4 linked regions of the Caenorhabditis elegans genome follow. The protein of the gene in region 4 interacts with the protein of the main gene of each other region in a pairwise test. Each region holds a gene or a part of one and is shown on either strand. Other genes may lie near its edges.

Region 1 (4,609 bases), on a different chromosome or scaffold from region 4:
TCGAGTTCTTCAATTAACTACCAAAAGTTAATTTTATGTTCCAAACTATTTTCTTTTTTGTTGTTAAATTTCATTTTTACGCGTTGAATAATACATTTGTTGATTAAAAATCTGGAAATTCTTCTCAATACTATGGCGAAGTGAAGGGCATTGTGACCATTTTTCCGGCTGTCGACTTGAATGGCTCCGCATTTGGCGCCAGGCTCTCCACCCACGACAGGAGCGTTCTGGTGATCGTTGCGTACGTGGTGAAGTCCACTTGGGAGGAGAACGAGGTGAAGCAGTCGTCGAGGAGAAGTTGGAGCTGAAAGTTGGAGAATTTCGACTTAAAAATCTGGAAATTTCAGTAAATTCTAACCATTTTGACTTGAATCGTGGACTGGCCGGCGTCAGGAACCGAAGAAGCCATCTGCTCGTACTCTGAGGCAATCATTTCCAGTGCGGCCGCTTGTGCGTTGAGCTGGGCCAGTTGCTTGTCGGCGTCGGAGATGTCGGTTTTCAGTTGGGACATGAAGTCGCAGGCTCTGGAAATTATTGAATTTTCGGGGAAATTTGCAGAATTTTGAAGGTTTTTAAGCAAAAAATGGGCTTAGCAGACTGGAATTGTGATTTTTCCCGCTGAAAAACACGAAATTCTTGAAAAAAATCGTGCTTTTTAATGTAAAAAACTTGAAATTGTCATCAAAATTCGATAATTTCGCAATTTGGGTATGCTAAATCCACGTTGGTCTGCTAATTATTTAGCAGACCCAACTATGGTCTGCTAATTATTTAGCAGACCCAAGTATGGTCTGCTAATTATTTAGCAGACCCAACTATGGTCTGCTAAATATTTAGCAGACCCAAATTTTTATGTTTTCCAGTTATTTTTCCTTCAATTTTTCAGTATTTTCAGCCAGTACCTGAATAAAATCGCGGCGTTTGTAGTTTTACATCCCAGCGAAGTCGTTGTCTGAGGAATTAAATCCTTTAAATCACTGTATCCGCTCTGAAAAGTTGAAATTTTAGCTTTTTTCCACGAATTTCCAAGCTTCAACAAACATTTATAGCTTCTCTTCGCTGCCGTTCACACCTCAAGTGCGTCGCCTTCTTTCTATCCGAGCTAAATCCGCCGGAATTCGTCGCTGGCGTGTTTGGGGCCGATGGGGAGCTCGCCGAGCCGTCCGGCGACATTAGGTCCATATCGTCCGGCTTTTGAGAGGAGCTGGCAGCTGCGGAACGGCTTCGAGACATTTTTGGGCTGAAAAACAGAGAATTTCAGTAGAGTAATTGGGAAAAAAACGAAGAAAAACGCGGATTTTTGAAATTTGGGTCTGCTGATTAATTAGCAGACCTAATTGTTCCCTGGCAAGATTTTTTTTGAAGATTTCAATCAATTCTAGATATTTTCTGAACGGGTTTCTCAATAAACAAATGGAAATTCCCTCTAAACCTTGAGAAAATTAGAAGTATTTCGGCAAAAACGTTCAATTTTCTTTTTTGAGAAAAATCATGATGCAAAAACTAAAATTCCTATAAAAACTTAATCAATCTGTGAATCGATACTTCCGATCACGGGTTTGATCGTTTGAACCCGTTTTTTCTCGGCGACAACGATGCTCCGACTTAACGCACGGTTTTCTCCGGTTTTTCCGGGTTTTTGTTCAATTTTACTGTGATTTAAGCAATTTTTCGCATAAAAATTGGTTTTTCAACATTTTTCTACATGATTTTTGATTTTTATTCACGAAAAACGATGAAAAATCGATGAAATTCGGGGAAAAACAAAAATTTCAGTTGCAAACGATGCTCCGAAATTCCGCGGCGCGCCCTGTTTATCATGAGTTGGTGTTTGAATAATTTTGATGATAATTTCAGACTTTCTCGAAGCTTTTTCGATAATTCCTTGAACTTCATGATTTTCGTCGATTTTTCAGAGTTTTTCCACTATTTTCCATCGTTTTCAGACCATGTCGAACATAGCATTCAACAGACTCCAACGAGAATGCAAAGAGGTCGTCACAAACTCGGAAATCAGCGAAACCGGAATTATGATCGAGATATTGAACGAGAATCTCACCGAAATCAAGGTAAAACGCCGCGAATTGTGTGTCGGAAATCTCAATTTTTATCGGTTTTCAGGGACACATCCGCGGTCCACCAGACACTCCATACGCCGGTGGAATGTTCGATTTGGATATTAAGATTCCAGACCAATATCCATTCTCGCCACCAAATGTACGAGTTTTTCTGCCTGGAAAGCTTGAAAATTGTCGAAATTTGTGTAAAAATCGCGGTTTTTCAGGTCAAGTTCAGCACAAAAATCTGGCACCCGAATGTCAGCTCGCAGACCGGCGTCATTTGCCTCGATATTCTTAAGGATCAATGGTAATATTGCGATTATTATTTTAAAATCGGAAAATTTAATTTATTTTCAACTTCAGGGCCGCTTCGCTGACTCTTCGCACGGTTCTCCTGTCGATTCAGGCGTTGATGTGCACACCGGAGCCCAAGGATCCTCAAGATGCCGTCGTCGCCAAGCAATACATGGAGAAGCCAGCAGTTTTCAAGGTAGCAGCGTGGAAAATTCAGAAAATTCGCGGAAAAATGGGGAAAATATTGCGAAATCCGATTAAAAAATCAATATGGGTCTGCTAAGTAATTAAGTAATTAGCAGACCCAAATCTTCCCTTATTTTGTGTGTTTTTTTGCGTATTTTGCCCCAAAAATTATCTATAATTTCCCATTTTTCAGGCCAACTCGAGTTTTGAAGCGTCAAAATTGAGAAAATTCGATGGGAAACGTGCAAAATTCGTTAATTCCCGAATTTTGGAGACAATTCTGACTGTTTTACACTGAAATGCACGATTTTCTCGGAAAATTATTGATTTTTGCCCTGAAATTTCAGAATTTGGCCGATTTTCTTTAGAATTTGGGTCTGCCAACTAATTAGCAGGCTTGTAGAAACGCCACGTGGTTTTCGATGGTCTGCTAAATATTTAGCAGACCCAAGTATGGTCTGCTAAATAATTAGCAGACCCAAGTATGGTCTGCTAAATAATTAGCAGACCCAAGTATGGTCTGCTAAATATTTAGCAGACCCTAATCCCGTATTTATCCTTTAAATTTAGTTTTTTTCGCGGAATTTACTGGTTTTTTCTTGTTTTTCAACCAGGAAATCGTTCAAATTCATCACTTTTTGTCCCAGAAGCCGAGAAAAATCAGTTTTTCAGCTCATATCGAAATTTGTTTTTCAAAAAGAAATTATAAAAAAGTTTAGCAGACCCAAAACTCAACAAATTTGGCGAAGTTGTTTTTAGTCTAAAAACTCGAATTTCCCCGAAAATTCGTTGTTTCCAGTGAGTGTAAAAACTCGAGAAATCTCAAAAAAAAAATTGGTTTTCATTCGAATTTTCTCAATTTCCACGCTTGAAAACTTTAGGTAGCCTAGAAAATAGACAAACATAGACAACATAAACTGAATAATAGCCTAATATGCTCTTAATATACTAAATTTCCACCATTTTTCAGGCCACCGCCGAGTACTGGACGACAAAATTCGCAAAGGGAGCCGTGAAAAACGCCGGATACCAGGCTCTCGTCGACAAGCTCAAGGATATGGGAGTCCGTGAGGAAGAGGCTGTCAGCGTGCTCAGCTGCAACAATTGGGACATCAATCGCTCGACGGTCTACATTTTCTCTTAAATTCTTTTTTATTCGATTTTTTTGAATTTTTTCTGTGAGCCTCTTGTCTTGAAGTTTGTGTCCTAAAAATCCCTTATTTCTTCCATTTTTTTCCGAGAAATTTTCGTCCCCAACCCCCCGCACCACTGGTATTTCTTTTTACCAATTCGTACCATCCTCACCCCAAAAAAACCGATCAGAATAGTAGATTTTCCGCCTGATTTGTGTGTGTTTTGCCTATTTATTATCGATATTATTCATTGAAATTTCCCCCCTTTGACCCCCATTTTTTTTGCAACGATACTCTTTCCATGAATTATATTGACGGAGTTGTAGCTGCAATTTTTATCCGATTTTCTGAAAATTTTTGGCGAATGTCGTTTTTAATATCTTTAAAACTCCATTTTTATCTGTAAAATCTATAATTTTAGCACCCAAAAAAATGCCAGCAGAGCCACAAAAATCCACAGAAGCCGGCAGCGTGGCACCGGAGAAGAAGCTGAAAGCGTGCTGCGCGTGTCCTGAAACGAAACGAGTGAGGTTTTGATGGAAAATGGAAAAATGGCGAAAAATTCCAATTTTGCGGTTGAAAATCGCTAAATTTTACATTTCGACTATCCAAAACTGATTTTTCCGAGTTTTTGCATCAAAAATCGAGAATTTCTGGGAAAAAACTCAATTTTGAACATAAATTCGAAAAAAAATGGGTCTGCTAAATATTTAGCAGACCCATTTTTGGTCTGCTAAATATTTAGCATACCCAACTTTGGTCTGCTAATTATTTAGCAGACCCAAGTATGGTCTGCTAAATATTTAGCAGACCCCAGTATGGTCTGCTAAATATTTAGCAGACCCCAGTATGGTCTGCTAAATATTTAGCATACCCAATTTTGGTCTGCTAAACATTTTGCAGACCCAATTTCGAAAAATCTTAATTTTTTCCTCA
Region 2 (7,597 bases), 590 kb from region 4:
GATGGAAAGTTTGCAAACAAGAAAACTCCACAAAAAAAATTGTCTAAAAATTGCAGCACCAAATGCGCTCTACTGAACTGACAGCCGGTGATTTGGCTGCGTACCTTGGCTTATGGTTAAGAGAGTGATACTCAGCCAACGACCGCCCTTTTTCTCTTGAAATTAGCTTTCAGTTCTTTTTTATCGAATTTCAGTTAAGTTTTTGTACTATTTTATGCGAATTTTTATCCCAAGCAAGCCTCTTTACCTATATTTGACTATTCTTCACGAAAAAGTATGTAAAAATCCACTCTTTATTATTTTTTTCTTAATTAAATTTAAAAAGTTGTTTTAATTAATTCGTTTGCTTGCATACATTTATTAAATTTAAATTTTGCCTAATTTCTTAATTTTGCAGGTAATGGCGCAACTCATGAAACGCGGATTCTCCACGAGCGCTGCTCTCGCTAAGGCTCAGCTGGTGAAGACCCCGATTCAGGTTCATGGAGTCGAGGGACGTTACGCCGCCGCTCTTTACTCAGCCGGACACAAACAGAACAAGCTCGACCAGATTTCCACAGATCTGAACAATGTTCGCTCCGTGTACAAGGACAACAAGAAGTTCCAAGAGTTCGTCCTCGACCCAACTCTCAAGGCCAACAAGAAGAAGACCGCCATCGAGGCTATCTCAACTAAATTGGGGCTTACCAAAGAGACTGGAAACTTCCTTGGTATTTTGTTAACGTGTAATTACAAATTTAATTGTAACTTTCAGGACTTTTGGCTGAGAACGGACGTCTGAACAAGCTCGAGTCAGTTGTTTCTTCATTCGAATCCATCATGCGCGCTCACCGTGGAGAACTTTTCGTTCAGGTACTTTTATTATAACTGCCAAGAAAAACAATGTTTCTTTTGAAATTTGTTTTCGTAAAATTATAAAATATGAATAGCGAATGTTTTCAATACGTAGAAATGGAAATTTTCAAGTCTAAATTTTAATCCTGAAGATGCTCGTACGTACCGTTTTAAAAACTAAAAATCATTTTCAGGTCACCTCCGCCGAAGAATTGAGCTCATCAAACCAGAAGGCATTGTCTGATGCCCTTAGCAAGATCGGAAAGTCTGGACAAAAGCTCACGGTGACTTATGCCGTCAAGCCATCGATTCTTGGAGGACTTGTTGTCACTATCGGAGACAAGTACGTCGATCTGTCGATCGCTTCCCGTGTCAAGAAATACAAGGATGCCCTTGCCACCGCCATCTAAATTTTTCCCAAAAAATTTAGTTCCTCATCCCGATTTTCAATCTGTGCTTCAAACCAGTTCCCTGCCTCATCATACCCAATCATTGAAGATGGTGTTTTAAAGAGTTGTTTAGTAATCGGTTTTATGTATTGTCTTCATTTTCTAGTGGGTCATAACATCAGCAGTGTAATTGTTTGTTCCAGAATTTTAAGTTTCTTTATTGTACTCTCAACAAATAAATAAATAGATCTGTGAAAAATTTCAATTATATTGACCTCGTTCTGTCGGTTACCATTTACTTCTTAATAATGTTTTGAAAGAAAACAGAATAAAATTATAGAAATTTGAGAAACAGAAATGAGTGATGACTCGGATCTTGATGACGTTGCTCATCAGAAGCTTCTGCAATCAATTCACACACCTGGAACTGTAAAGAAAAATCGTCTGAAGAAAGCATCAAAAACAAAAACCGACGCAACTTCTCTTCTATCTCATCTTACAGTTTCAAGGTATTTGAAAAACAAATTTTTTTTTAAATTTAGGATTTTTGCAATTTTACAGACCTTCAACCAACAAAGCCAAGCAAAGTCTCGGAATTGGTGGCCTAGAGTCGACAGAAAAAACAGGAAAGAAGCGAAAATCGGAAGCAACAGCAGATGAAACAACTACGAAAAAGAAGCTGAAAAGCAAAACATTAATTCCTCTAAAAGATGTTGAAGCTCGAAAGGAGATTGAAGGAAAAATTGCGTTCACTGATTTGAAGTGAGATTATTGATTTGTGATTTAATTAATAAGATATTTTTACAGAAAAGAAGTGACACAAAATTGGACAGAGCTCGTTCAAAGCAACCGCGTCAGTGATCAATTGATCTTCCCTCTCACAAAACCGGATGGAATTATGTGGGGTGTAAGTTGTTGCTTCCAAATTAAACTGTTCTAAAATTTAATAAAAGTGGAAAAATTGCTCCTAATAATTATTTTCGTTCAGGACGAGAAAACCGAGCCCGTACTGACCGAAAAGGAGATGGAATTGATGAAGGCTACAGATATTAAAATGGCAAAAGATCGTCTTTCACAAATGCAACGAATGCGTGCTATTGTTGGAATCCAAGAGGCCAAGAATCGATATATGAAGAAAATCAAATCGAAAGGATATCATCGAATTCTAAAAAGAGAAAAACGAAAACAACTTTTAAAAGAGTTTGATGATTTGGTTGCTCGTGATCCATCCGCTGCTCATGAAAAACTTGCCGAAATGGATTTACAGCGAATCATGGAAAGAGGAAGTTTGAAGCATCGCGGACAGAATCAGAAATTCAAACAGATGCTGGAAAAACATGCTAGCCGAAATCCAGAGGTCAAAAAATTGCTCGATGAGCATTTGAGGTTAGATATTAATTTTGGAACAAAAATTTTAAAATGGGAATATTTTTTCAGAATGGGAAGAGAATTAAAAGCAAAAGTCGCAACTACCGCTGAAGATTCTGATGGTGAAGCTCCAACTTCAACGGAAGATCCACAAAATAAAAAGAAGAGTATTCATGAGTTAATCAAGGTAAGTGAGACATAAACTACTAATTCATTAGACGGATTCAAGTTCTCAATAAGCTTTCTTCTTATCTGCACCGAAAACATCTTGATTGAGACCAGCCAGGGTTTGGTAGTTCGGGTCATGAGTTGCAGCCTTAGCACCATGTTGAGCAGGAGCTTTTGGTGGAGCTGGTGCACCATTTCCTCCTCCTCCACCTCCACCAACACCACCTTTTTGATCGAACACGTTGTTATTCAAACCAGCAAGAGTCTGATAGTTTGGATCGTGTGTTGCAGCCATTCCAGGTTTACCTCCTGCTGCTGGAGCCTGTGGTCCTGCTCCACCACCACCTTTCTTATCGAAAACATTATCATTCAAGCCGGCAAGAGTTTGATAGTTAGGATCATGAGTTCCGGCCATTCCTGGTTTTCCGTCCGGAGCTTTTGGAGCAGCTCCACCACCACCACCGCCTTGTTTTTGCTCAAAAACGTTATCGTTCAATCCGGCCAATGTCTGGTAGTTGGGATCATGGGTGTCAGCAATTGCAGCACGATTTTTCGGAGGCTTTGGAGCTCCGGCAGGAATCTTTCCCTTTTCCTTGGCTGCTGCTTTTTTCTTTTTTGCCGCAATCGCATCGTTTTTCTTCTTTTTACGACGCTTTTCATCATCCTCATCATCGTCATCATCATCACCTCCAGTAGTTCCTCCAGTTGTTCCTGTTTCATCTGAGTATTTTTTCTTTCCTTTCGACTTCTTCCCGCAGTTCACCAGAATAGCTGCCGGAACTGTCCAACACAGAGCAAGTTGCAGAAGTATCATAAAAATTGGCTGAAATTTTTATATTTTTTGGATTTTTTAGTTTTCAAACAATACCTGTAAACCAAATAACTCCATGCTCATCATTTGTGATATAGTTATCGATATATCCACAACTGTAGTTTGAGATCGAAGAAATAAAAATAAAAGAGTTATCAAGTAGAGGATTTTGAAAAATGATGATTTATTCTTCACGTAGTAACATTCTATTTTTTAAAATTTTATATTTAAAATTAATTTTAAAAAATTTCAGGATGCCGCCCAAGAAGCGGAGAAAGAATCCAGAAAACAAGTTGGCACGGCTCTAGTTGATACTTTCCTCGAAGACTCCGATGCTCAAAAAGTGACACTTGCTCAGATGCGAGCCAAGAAACGACAAGAAGCTGCTATAACTCGAAGTATTTCAGCGAATACTGGTGCATCACGTGAAAATCCTCTATTCGACGTCGATGACACTTGGCAAGAGAAAGAAGATGCGAAAAAGGCAAAGCAGAAGAAAAAGAAGCTACTAAAAGCGAAGGAGTCAGCGAGAAAAGGAACAATTGGAAAAGTATCATATGTTGATAAGAATTATGATCCGAAGATGGAGGCTAAACGTGCAGAAACTTTTGATGAAAAAGTGGAAAAGGCAGTGGATTCAGCTGGAGTGCATGCCGCTGAAAAACGACAAAAGGAAATTGAAATCGATCCGAGCAAATTTCTAGAGCTCAACACAAACGACTTGACACAAGTTTCGTCGGATTTTGTTGAGAAAATGGATCAGTTTGATGAAGGTAAGCTTAATCTTTTTTTTTCTTTTTATTAACTATATTCCAACGATTTTTTCCTGCAGAAGCCGCTCAAGTTATCAATGAAGCTTTCAAGGATGATGACGTCATTGGAGATTTTGAAGATATGAAAGAAGGAGTGAAAGAAAAGGAAAAAGTTAAAGATGTAGATCTCAATTTGGCCGGATGGGGCTCATGGGTTGGACCAGGAATGACTGAGAAGAAGCGACGCCAAAACTTTGTGATTAAAGCAAAAGAGAAGAGAAGAAGGGACGGAGAGAGAAACGGAGTAATTATTGCTGAAAATATGACGGCTAAGGATGTAAGCACCTGATATATCTCCTAGATTTTTTAATTGCAAAAATGAGCTTTCAGGGTATCGGAAAGATCCAGCCACGTTCTCTACCATTCCCCTACTCCCGAGTTGAAGACTATGAGGCTGTGCTAAAACAACCGTTGGGTCTTGAATGGAATATGGAGAAGATGCGAGATGAGTTGTGCAAACCTGCGGTTGTTGTTGAGGTAAGCTTTATTATATTTTACAGTTTTATTGAACATGAAAATTATGTTGAAACAAAGAGAAGGAGAAGAGAACCGTGAACAGTGGAAAAAAACGAGTGAAAACAAGGAAAGAAAGGCATTGGACTGGGAGTGTGTGATGGGTTGGACCTGAATTGTTTCAAACAAAAAAAAAGTTGATAAAACAACAGATGAAGTGGTTATAAGTAGGGAAAACATGAATAATTTAAAAATAATTAGTTTTGATCATCCGAACTAGACGAAGATCTTGCGAAGTCAATGACATGGCAACGATTCCTCCAAATCAACGAAAACGTTTTCTTCCGTGGTGATTCCTCGAGCGTACTCGTACATTATGACATACAAAGCATGATCATCGAGCATATCGTAGTCTTCCTTCTCGTCCAGTTGTTCCTTGGAAGATGCTTCCACCTCTGCAGGCTCTAAAGTCTCTAGCTTCTCTGGTACAGCTGGTTCTTCTTGTTGTGGAACCTCTACGAGTTCGACTGGAGTAGTGTCTTCAGTAACCGCGTTGACAAGTGTTCCGACGGTTTCAGCTGCAGATGTGACCATTTCTGATACGGAATTCCAGATGGAGGTTGCATAGGAGAAGTAAGACATTTTGAGAACTTGTGGTTCTGAAAATGAAATAAGTTTTAGTCATTTTAGATAAGGAAAATATGAATAGAAGGGCTGAGGAAACAAACACGCAATTTCATAATCTATTGTGCCAAAAAAGGGATAGTTACGAAATCGAGGTAATATGGAAATCAAACTACATAGAAGAAATTAAGAACATAGAGCCTAGGTAAAAAAAACGACGGACGACTGAACACCCAACGTATGGCAGGCTGCCAAATAGGCGTGACTGTGCACAAAAACGCTCGATCTGATGTAACAGTATACACCTTTGTAATCAATAACTTTCTGGCGGCTAACGAGACCATTTGATTATTATTCCAACATAGTAGAGGAAGAGAAGAGACAATATAGAGTCCCAGAATATGGATCAATATAATAGGTTTTTGAGAGTTGGTCTTTTTAAATTTGGTTTAGAAATAAGTTTCGATAAGTTTTTAAAGAATACAATTTTTAAAATCTTCATATTATTTAAAAATGTAAATCGAAAATAATGAAAGAAGAAACTGTATATATTAGAGAATCGAGTAGTAGTAGTGTTTAGAGAATTAGAGATAAAAAAATACAGTACCCCTATGAGACTCAGTGCAACCTTGCATATGCTCCCCTAAAATCATATGCAACTATTTGGTTTTTTTTAAAATCAAATTGCACAATATTTCGAATTTTCAGCCGAAAGAAAAATTCAAAAATTCTTGCAACTTTTGTTCACAATAAATTTTTTCAAAACTGATTTTGATATAATTTCGGAATAGGGACCACTTTTTACATTTGAGACAGCTCTTTTCGATTTTAAAATATTTAGAAAGGTGTATAATGTCACAAAATATAAGCGAACATCTATCATCTGTGCATATATATGCACTGGCACGGGAGACAGGAACCGAACGGCACATGTGACGAGTTCATTTTGATGTCACAAGCTTTTCCCTTTTTCGTTAAAAAAAAAGTAGACTATAAAAACAAACAAACACTGTTCTAACAAGAAAATATGCAAAAATGAACACGCAAACTGGCGAATGTTGTTCGAGTTGTAATAGGTTGCGAAATTAACCGATAAGAAGCTCGATATTCTGTTATTAATAGATTTTTTACATTAAGTATTGCCCATGATTTCTAACACCTCAAATCCCTGTTGTCTTTGAAATTTCTTGTCTGAAGTAGTTTTTATTGCCAAGGACATTGTAGAATTGATCACGTACGAAAGTTTATTGTGAAACATTGTGAAAACCGGTAAATATTACCGAAAACATGACATAAATTGGACAGTAATATTAAAATAGACCCGAACATGTATAGGATTTCTTCGTTCATCCCAGATCATTTGGAATTCTTCATCCACTCGTAGTTGTTTTGCACCATCTCAAATTGATTGTGCCTGATTGGACCCGTCTCGTCTGGATTCTCATGGATCACTTCCCATTCGATCGATGTATTTGGTGACGATGCTCCTATCGCCTCCTGGTGAACATCCTCTGTCGTCTCCTTTTTATCCTCTTGAAGATCAGACGACGCCGCCGCCGCCCCTTGTTGCTCCCATGAGAAGACTTCAGAAGAAGCCGTGGCATCCTCTGAGCCAGATCCCCACTCGAGAGCAGTCTGACTGATTTGTGTTAGAGCCTGTGTTGCTCCTTCGGCAAGTGCAGAAGCTCCTCCAACAAGGTTCGCTGCCTGTTCTGTGACTGCTGGGACGACGGTTGTGGACATGAAGGTGTAGAGTCCATTGACGATGGAGTTCATTGTTTAGTTGTAGTTTTCTGAAAAAAAATAATATATACAAAGAGACAAGTTAGACCGGCAACGGAAGGAAAAAAGAATGAAAGTGAAAGTTCGAACGGAGTAGGATTTACAACAGGATTGACTTCATAAAAATTTAAATCAAGTGCATGTATTTTATCCTAGTGTACTATCTGCCTAGATTTTTTGAATCTAGGTGTAATATTTACGGAAAAAAAAGAAAATGAAGAGACAAAGTAGATATATCTCCGATGTGCTCTTTCTACCACCAGAATGCGAATGGCAACTAATGACTAGTAACAGAATAAGAAAGACGAGAAGATGAAGAGGAACGCTGTGTTGTCCTTACGTTCTTCCTATGTCTC
Region 3 (2,503 bases), on a different chromosome or scaffold from region 4:
TTGTTCCAGATGATTTCATCGTACAATTTTGCAGTTGGAGTAGCATCAGTATACTTTAACTACATATATCGAATAAAGAAAATTATCGAGATCAAAGGAAATATCAGAATAGTGGCAACTGGCCAGGCAGGTGCTATTAACTACGACAAGGCTATCTTCAATATTTGGAATTCTACTTCTTCAACAAATAATACCAGTTATTGATAAATTCTCGAAGCAAGCATTTTAAACGTAGCTGAGCCTTCGATCTGAACAAACTCCCAGCCAGAGCATACTTAACTATATTATCGACTAAACGTTTTTCGGTCTACGCCATTTTCAGTGTGTAACGCAAATAAATTCTTTTGAACAATGTATTCTTTCGAATAACAAGTAACAACTTAGAGACGACGTCCACGGCGACCTCCCTTTCTTCTGGTGCAGTCGGATGGGATTGGGGTAACGTCTTCGATTCTTCCAATCTTCATTCCAGCGCGAGCGAGGGCACGAAGAGCAGACTGAGCTCCTGGTCCTGGGGTCTTGGTTCTGGTTCCTCCAGTAGCACGAAGCTTGATGTGAAGAGCGTTGATTCCGAGCTGAAAACATTAACTTATTGCAGTAGCATTGATAAAAATTTAACTCACTTGTTTGCAACGATCAGCGACGTCTTGAGCGGCGAGCATAGCAGCGTATGGCGATGACTCGTCACGATCGGCCTTGACCTTCATTCCTCCGGTAACTCGAACGATGGTTTCACGTCCTAAAATTATTTGATAATTTTTGTTTCAAAATTATAATTTTACCTGAGATATCGGTGATGTGGACGAAAGTGTCGTTGAACGAAGCAAAGATGTGAGCGACTCCGAAGATGAGCTCTCCTTCTTTGGCCTGTGGTCCAAGGGACACGACAGCCTGTTCCTCCTTAGCCTTTCCCTTACGAGCGGGAGCCATTATCCAAGACTAAAATTGAATTCCTTGATTAAATATTTTACTAACTATGGCAATGAGGACAACGGAGAAAAAAAAATTTATGATAAGCCGAGTAAAAATTATATATAATTAATAAAATACGTCTTGTAAAATTTATTCTCATTGATTTTTAAAGAAATTCTCAACATTTCACCATAAAAACGTTTTAAAAATCGAAAAAGAAAATCGAAAAATACGATTTACACAGAAAATGTTTTGGCTGCGTATCATTTCCATGGAAAAAGTCGCTACGCAGCCAATGGTCTCACCACGATTTTCCATTTTCTCTTGTTTCGCCCCGCCGACGATAATAGGATGCTGGTTTTTTCGATTTTTTCACGATTTTTACAGGAATTTCTTGTTAAAATTTCGTCTAAAAACACCAAATTAAATTGGTTAAACTATTTTACACTGAAAAATCACACTATATGGGTGTTTTCACGTCTCACATATTGATTTTTGAGAGATCTTCTTTCAAGGCCAAATTGGGCATCAATTCGATAAATTTCCAAAGTTTTTTACCTATATATGCGGCAAATTTGTGATTTTTTATTTAATTTGTACCAATAGGATATATGTTCGCTAGTTTATTTCTCGTAACTTAATCGCAACTCTAATCGTATTCCTAAACTAATTATTTTGTATAATTTCAGGATGAGCGGACCAGGAATTGAAGGTTTGGCCGTCGGTCTCAACAAGGGACATGCTGCTACCCAACTTCCAGTTAAGCAGCGTCAAAACAGACACAAGGGAGTCGCCTCCAAGAAGACCAAGGTTTGTTATTATCCAATTTTTCGGATTAAAATATTTATTAAAGTTTTTAGATCGTCCGAGAGCTCGTTCGTGAGATCACCGGATTCGCTCCATACGAGCGTCGCGTTCTGGAAATGCTTCGTATCTCCAAGGACAAGCGCGCCCTCAAGTTCTTGAAGAGACGCATCGGAACCCACCGTCGTGCTAAGGGAAAGAGAGAGGAACTCCAAAACGTCATCATCGCTCAACGCAAAGCCCACAAATAATTTTGTTGCTGTTGATAAATTGTTGTTATCCAAAATCTCGTTTTTTCTTGTTCTGACTTTGAAAGAATGCGTGGATTCGCCTCAATTACTTGAGGATAGATAGTTATGGATTATGAAAGAACCTCATTCTTTTAGAAGGGTTAAAATGTTTGGTCGTCAAGTTGGACGCGTCGTTTTCAGAACTGCCTCGGTGGTAGTTCAACGGAGATCTGTGTCAGCTTCGGTGCCGCAAATGGTCAAGCTCGTGGCTCCATCTGTAAATTTCATTCAAACTAGGTAACATTCTTCAGGAAATTTTGTGGTGCTAAAAATCAAGGCAAATGCTTATTTGTAGAAGAAGGTTTTTTGAGGAAAATAAGTGAAAAAGAGAACTACCTTTTAAATCAAACTGAGTAACGATAAAACAATTTCCACATTAAAGTTTTGATTTTTGGAGTTCAGACATACTCTTTAGAAAAAAAGGTCGGTATTTTCAGGGGAAGCAAAATTGAAGTCTTCGGACCATTCGACCCCCCAAAGCAACTCACATTCAAACA
Region 4 (4,027 bases):
AATTGTGTCGAACCAGGGCTTCAGGAATTCCAGAAAGACGTCTAACTGCTTTTGGTGAAGATTCGAGCGGGGACTGAAATCAAAAATGTATTAAAATTAAAATTTGACTTATTCTTTAAACTGTTTTTTTTATTTCCACTTTTCTAACACAGAATAAAAATTTCTTCTGAGATTTTGATAAACTTTAAATGCTTTTCAGCTAGTATTACACCGTTGTTTGTAGATGCTGCTTTTTGTTTCTGTTTAAATTAGGAAAAATATAAGCGAAATTTTTTCTAAAAAATCGTAAATTTATTACCTTTTTTCCCTCGACTTCCCCACTTTTTCAGAGAAGAAGCTCAAAAATTCGGAAATGGCAAAATTCTCAACCTGGCACTGCGCATACATTGCCGGAAATGGATAGACAGTTTCAAACGGATCCAAAATCATTTTCACAAGCTCTGCCGAGCACTCTTTTTCAATCCAGGAGCATCGATTCATTGTGCCGAGTCCAACGCTCATTCCAATAGAATCATGGAGAAATGCTGTTAGATAACATTTATCAAGAATTGGTTGTTGCCTTGCAAGTGAAGTGATTATTGAGATGAATAGTTCGAGAATATTGTCAGGATATGATCGAGAATTGCAAATTACGAAGAGCAGAGCGCGGTGGAGAGGAATTTGCTGAAAATTTTTCAATGATTAGAATTATTCTCCAAGTTTTTGTTAGATTTGAACCAACATTTAGCTTATCCCCATGATTTTTTACGGTTTCCGCAATTGTTCCCATTATTCTGAGCTCCACTTTCAACTTTTCTCCGACAAAGAAGCTCTTGAGCGCGGCGACGAACATTTTAGCGATTTTTGTAAAATGGCCCGCTAAAATCGCCTCCTGTACGCTTTTCTGGAAGGTTTCGATGTTTAAATTGATTGTATCTCCAAAATCTTTCCATTGATCATCGAGATTGGGGCGAACGAGATGGCTGGATTGTAGGGATGGATTTGCTGGAAATTTGTTTAATTATTAGGTGTTTTCTGGGAAAAATTGAAAATTTTTACCGGAATTACTTAGCGTTGGCTTTGGTGGAATACAAGTTTTTGATCTAAAATCCAACTTCGCTTTAACTCCTCCAGAAGTTGACGGTCCGCCAGTGCCTCCACTAGTCGTCGGGAGTTTATGGTTCAGTTTCGCCTTTTTCATGTCCTCCGGCTTCATAATCGTATCATTTAGGCGTTTGTGTTTTTTACGTTCCATTATTTATAAGATTCTAAACGAGAAACTCTTAAGATTTTCCGGAAAATAATGATAAAAACGGTTGTGAAATTGAATGAGAATAAAAAAACGAAACAAGCACGAGTGAGGCAGGTGCGCTCCAATGCGAATTTCTTTGCGCGGATGTTTAAATGGTTATTTTTTTATGGGAATCGACAAGTCACATGCTACGCTAGAGAGAGTTTTACATTTTACAGTCTTTTTGGAATTTAATAATATATATATTATCATAAAATCGAATAAAAATTGTTTCGAATAATGAATAGCTTTGTTTTTTCGTCTTGACTTCTGAAATAATTTTAAATTTGAGAAAAATTTGTGTCGCAATATATAATTATTAATATTATTAATAATGTAATTTTTTTATAATAAACTGATTTATATTTTAAAAACAAAAAAGGAATGACAATTCAGTTTAGTTTTATGAAAAACTTTGAAAAGACAAAAATAATTACAGTAAACGCGCTCCGCTAGACTCCCCAAATTTGTTTTTGTTTTCCAGGCTTGTGTCCAGGCAAATTCCAGCTTTCTTTTTGTTTCAGAATTTCTAGGTATTTATCTCCGTGAAAATGAGCGGTAAGATTGACAATCTCGAGTTTGTATTAAAATTTATTAAATTTCATTTCAGAAAAAAATACCGAAAATCCAGAAATTCTATCAACAGTCTTGGCTGGGTACTGCCAGTGCCAAGTCTGCTATCAGGTACTAATTTCCTAGTTTTACTCAATTTTCTACAAAATATGTTTGCAGCCTTTTAATGAAACCACAAAATTGGCTCGGTCCTTGCACTGTGGCCACACTTTCTGCACAGAATGCATCAGAAACGTGCAAAACTACGGTAATTCCCCACATTTAGAGTGCCCTACTTGCCGTGCGGAAACTAAAAGCAACATCGAAAATGTAGCACCAAATTTTTCAATTATGGGTAAGTTTTACCTCTTTTGAGTATTGAAATCCACGTTTTTTCTCAGAATTGGCAAGGAATTTCGGGCTTCTGGGTCCTCCAGTTGACGCTCCGCGAACTTCCTCTAGTTGCTGCTCAAATAAAACGAATAGAGATGAAATGATTGATAATAAATTCCGCGAGCTGCTTGTTGAAGTAAAAAGCAGTCTCATTCACCATTTTGACGTTTTCCGCATCAAATCACAGCTATGGAGTCTAGGCAAAGCCAAATGTGTATAAGTATTTTCTATAAAAACTGAATTTTTTCAGCAGAAGCCGAGCGAGAGGTCAGCAACATGGCTGAAGCCTTGGCAGGGGCTGTTTCTGAATGTTATTACGATTCTGACGACAATTCTGATGCGAATTCTGAGGATCAGCGAGTTCGAACTATGCTAAGGTTCTTGGCAGCAAGAGTTAGTTGATATTTTCCATGCTCCCTTGATTTGAAAATTTTCAGGACAGCGATTCTGAGACTACAGAAGACTCAACAGATTTTCTAGAATCAAATACTACTGTCCCGGACAGAACACTGGGTGGCGGTTTCTATCGCAATTTTCGTCGTCTTTTTGGAGACGTTAGTTTTCATCGAGTTAAACATTTAGAATAGAAAAAATCTTTCAGGAAAACGAACTAGATGATCCAGGTGTGGTTTCAGGTATTGAGGAGGCGGCCGCCTACCGACGTTTTCGAGGACTTTTTGGAAATGTAAGTGTCACTGTCGACAAGTTTATATTTTAGAAAAAATGTTTGCAGGACAACGACAGCATTTCGCAGGTTTCCACAACTTCCGGCAGTTTTGGGAATCATGAGAATGATCATTTTTGTCCGTTTTCCGATGACGTTAGTAGGACTTTGAATTCGATTGTTAATCTTTTTTCTAATTCAGGATAATATCTCCGAATGTTCCGATGACTACTATCCCACATTGGTTATGCCTGAAACAGATGAAGAGGAGACGTACAAAAGTTTTCGCTGCCTTTTTGGAGATGTATGTAAATTTATTGTCAGACGGCTATTTTTTAAACTAAAACAGCTGAAATTAAGAAAAAAATTCCAGGAAAACGGGAACCTCGACTTTTCCGACGACGAAAAAGAATTCTCCGACAATGAATCTTCACTCAGCTCAGTTTCCACTGAAGACTTTCCGAATTCGCACATAGAAGAAGCCGGCAGAGTTCTTCACAGATTTCTTCTGCTCTCTGCTCTTCTGAATGAAGAATAAATTACTATATAATTCAATTTTATCCCGTCTCCGCCTGAAATTTTTGTATTGTTTTACATGTTTTAATAGAGAAAATAAAGATCTCTTCTTGTTTTCCCCTGAAAAATCTGTGCGATTTCCTTTATTTTATTTTCGCTTTTGTTTCTCTTCAAAAGTGTTTTTTTTTCTCATTCAAAAATTCAGGACTTTCAAGGGAACCACATTTATTTGGAAAGGTCTCGCCGCGAAATCATAATTCAAACATGGTTGTTCATGTGCCTTTAAGATTACTGTAGAAAGTTTTGGAAGAAGTTTTGAATTTTTTTCTCCTTTCTTTCCCAAAAATCACCTACTTAATTTAGCATTTTCAGCCATAAATGTCCGCAACAAAAAGTGAAATGCCTGCGGATGTGGCATCTGTAACAGGTAATTTTTCGTTTTTATAAGATCTGGTTCCAAAATTCGAAAATTCCAGATAGTTCGGCTGCGTCGCCTGCATTCCCGCTGATAGGTGATTTTCTCGAGGAGTTTCTCAAATGCCAAGTCTGCTGCACTGTGAGTGCCCCACTTGTTTTATTGTTCAAAAATTAAACTTTCCAATTTAGAATTACAATGAGACGACAAAGCTGGC

The links.
Region 1: the proteins of rnf-1 (region 4) and ubc-20 interact in a two-hybrid assay, tested with the Caenorhabditis elegans proteins (one study listed by BioGRID).
Region 2: the proteins of rnf-1 (region 4) and utp-14 interact in a two-hybrid assay, tested with the Caenorhabditis elegans proteins (2 studies listed by BioGRID).
Region 3: the proteins of rnf-1 (region 4) and rpl-36 interact in a two-hybrid assay, tested with the Caenorhabditis elegans proteins (2 studies listed by BioGRID).

Annotation. Positions count from the first base shown.
Region 1 is NC_003281.10:186,892-191,500, forward strand, and holds ubc-20 (UBC core domain-containing protein), read left to right. Parts: upstream 1-1,946; 5' UTR 1,947-1,949; coding exon 1,950-2,069; intron 2,070-2,121; coding exon 2,122-2,217; intron 2,218-2,284; coding exon 2,285-2,367; intron 2,368-2,423; coding exon 2,424-2,550; intron 2,551-3,510; coding exon 3,511-3,684; 3' UTR 3,685-4,056; downstream 4,057-4,609. Other genes in the region: mxl-2 (Max-like protein homolog 2), read right to left, coding at 131-304, 359-524, 903-988, 1,042-1,233; cox-17 (Cytochrome c oxidase copper chaperone), read left to right, coding at 4,106-4,198.
Region 2 is NC_003279.8:5,422,424-5,430,020, reverse strand, and holds the start of utp-14 (Small-subunit processome), read left to right. Parts: upstream 1-1,563; 5' UTR 1,564-1,580; coding exon 1,581-1,732; intron 1,733-1,784; coding exon 1,785-1,985; intron 1,986-2,030; coding exon 2,031-2,130; intron 2,131-2,211; coding exon 2,212-2,609; intron 2,610-2,660; coding exon 2,661-2,778; intron 2,779-2,791; exon of another isoform or gene 2,792-2,823; coding exon of another isoform or gene 2,824-3,582; intron 3,583-3,627; coding exon of another isoform or gene 3,628-3,657; exon of another isoform or gene 3,658-3,748; intron 3,749-3,823; coding exon 3,824-4,343; intron 4,344-4,402; coding exon 4,403-4,659; intron 4,660-4,712; coding exon 4,713-4,859; intron 4,860-6,815; coding exon of another isoform or gene 6,816-7,235; intron 7,236-7,597. Other genes in the region: atp-3 (Oligomycin sensitivity conferral protein), read left to right, coding at 215-274, 398-710, 755-852, 1,029-1,244; F27C1.3 (Dauer Up-Regulated), read right to left, coding at 2,824-3,582, 3,628-3,657; F27C1.4 (uncharacterized protein), read right to left, coding at 6,816-7,235.
Region 3 is NC_003281.10:7,178,650-7,181,152, forward strand, and holds rpl-36 (Large ribosomal subunit protein eL36), read left to right. Parts: upstream 1-1,601; 5' UTR 1,602-1,602; coding exon 1,603-1,722; intron 1,723-1,772; coding exon 1,773-1,967; 3' UTR 1,968-1,998; downstream 1,999-2,503. Other genes in the region: rps-14 (Small ribosomal subunit protein uS11), read right to left, coding at 381-575, 624-739, 783-930; ndab-2 (Acyl carrier protein), read left to right, coding at 2,113-2,243, 2,444-2,503.
Region 4 is NC_003279.8:6,009,265-6,013,291, reverse strand, and holds rnf-1 (RING-type domain-containing protein), read left to right. Parts: upstream 1-1,705; 5' UTR 1,706-1,821; coding exon 1,822-1,828; intron 1,829-1,880; coding exon 1,881-1,954; intron 1,955-2,002; coding exon 2,003-2,177; intron 2,178-2,223; coding exon 2,224-2,415; intron 2,416-2,465; coding exon 2,466-2,608; intron 2,609-2,652; coding exon 2,653-2,769; intron 2,770-2,816; coding exon 2,817-2,900; intron 2,901-2,948; coding exon 2,949-3,035; intron 3,036-3,081; coding exon 3,082-3,183; intron 3,184-3,252; coding exon 3,253-3,417; 3' UTR 3,418-3,510; downstream 3,511-4,027. Other genes in the region: ints-1 (Integrator complex subunit 1 RPB2-binding domain-containing protein), read right to left, coding at 1-73, 299-663, 722-984, 1,039-1,234; C06A5.8 (RING-type domain-containing protein), read left to right, coding at 3,774-3,822, 3,872-3,951, 4,002-4,027.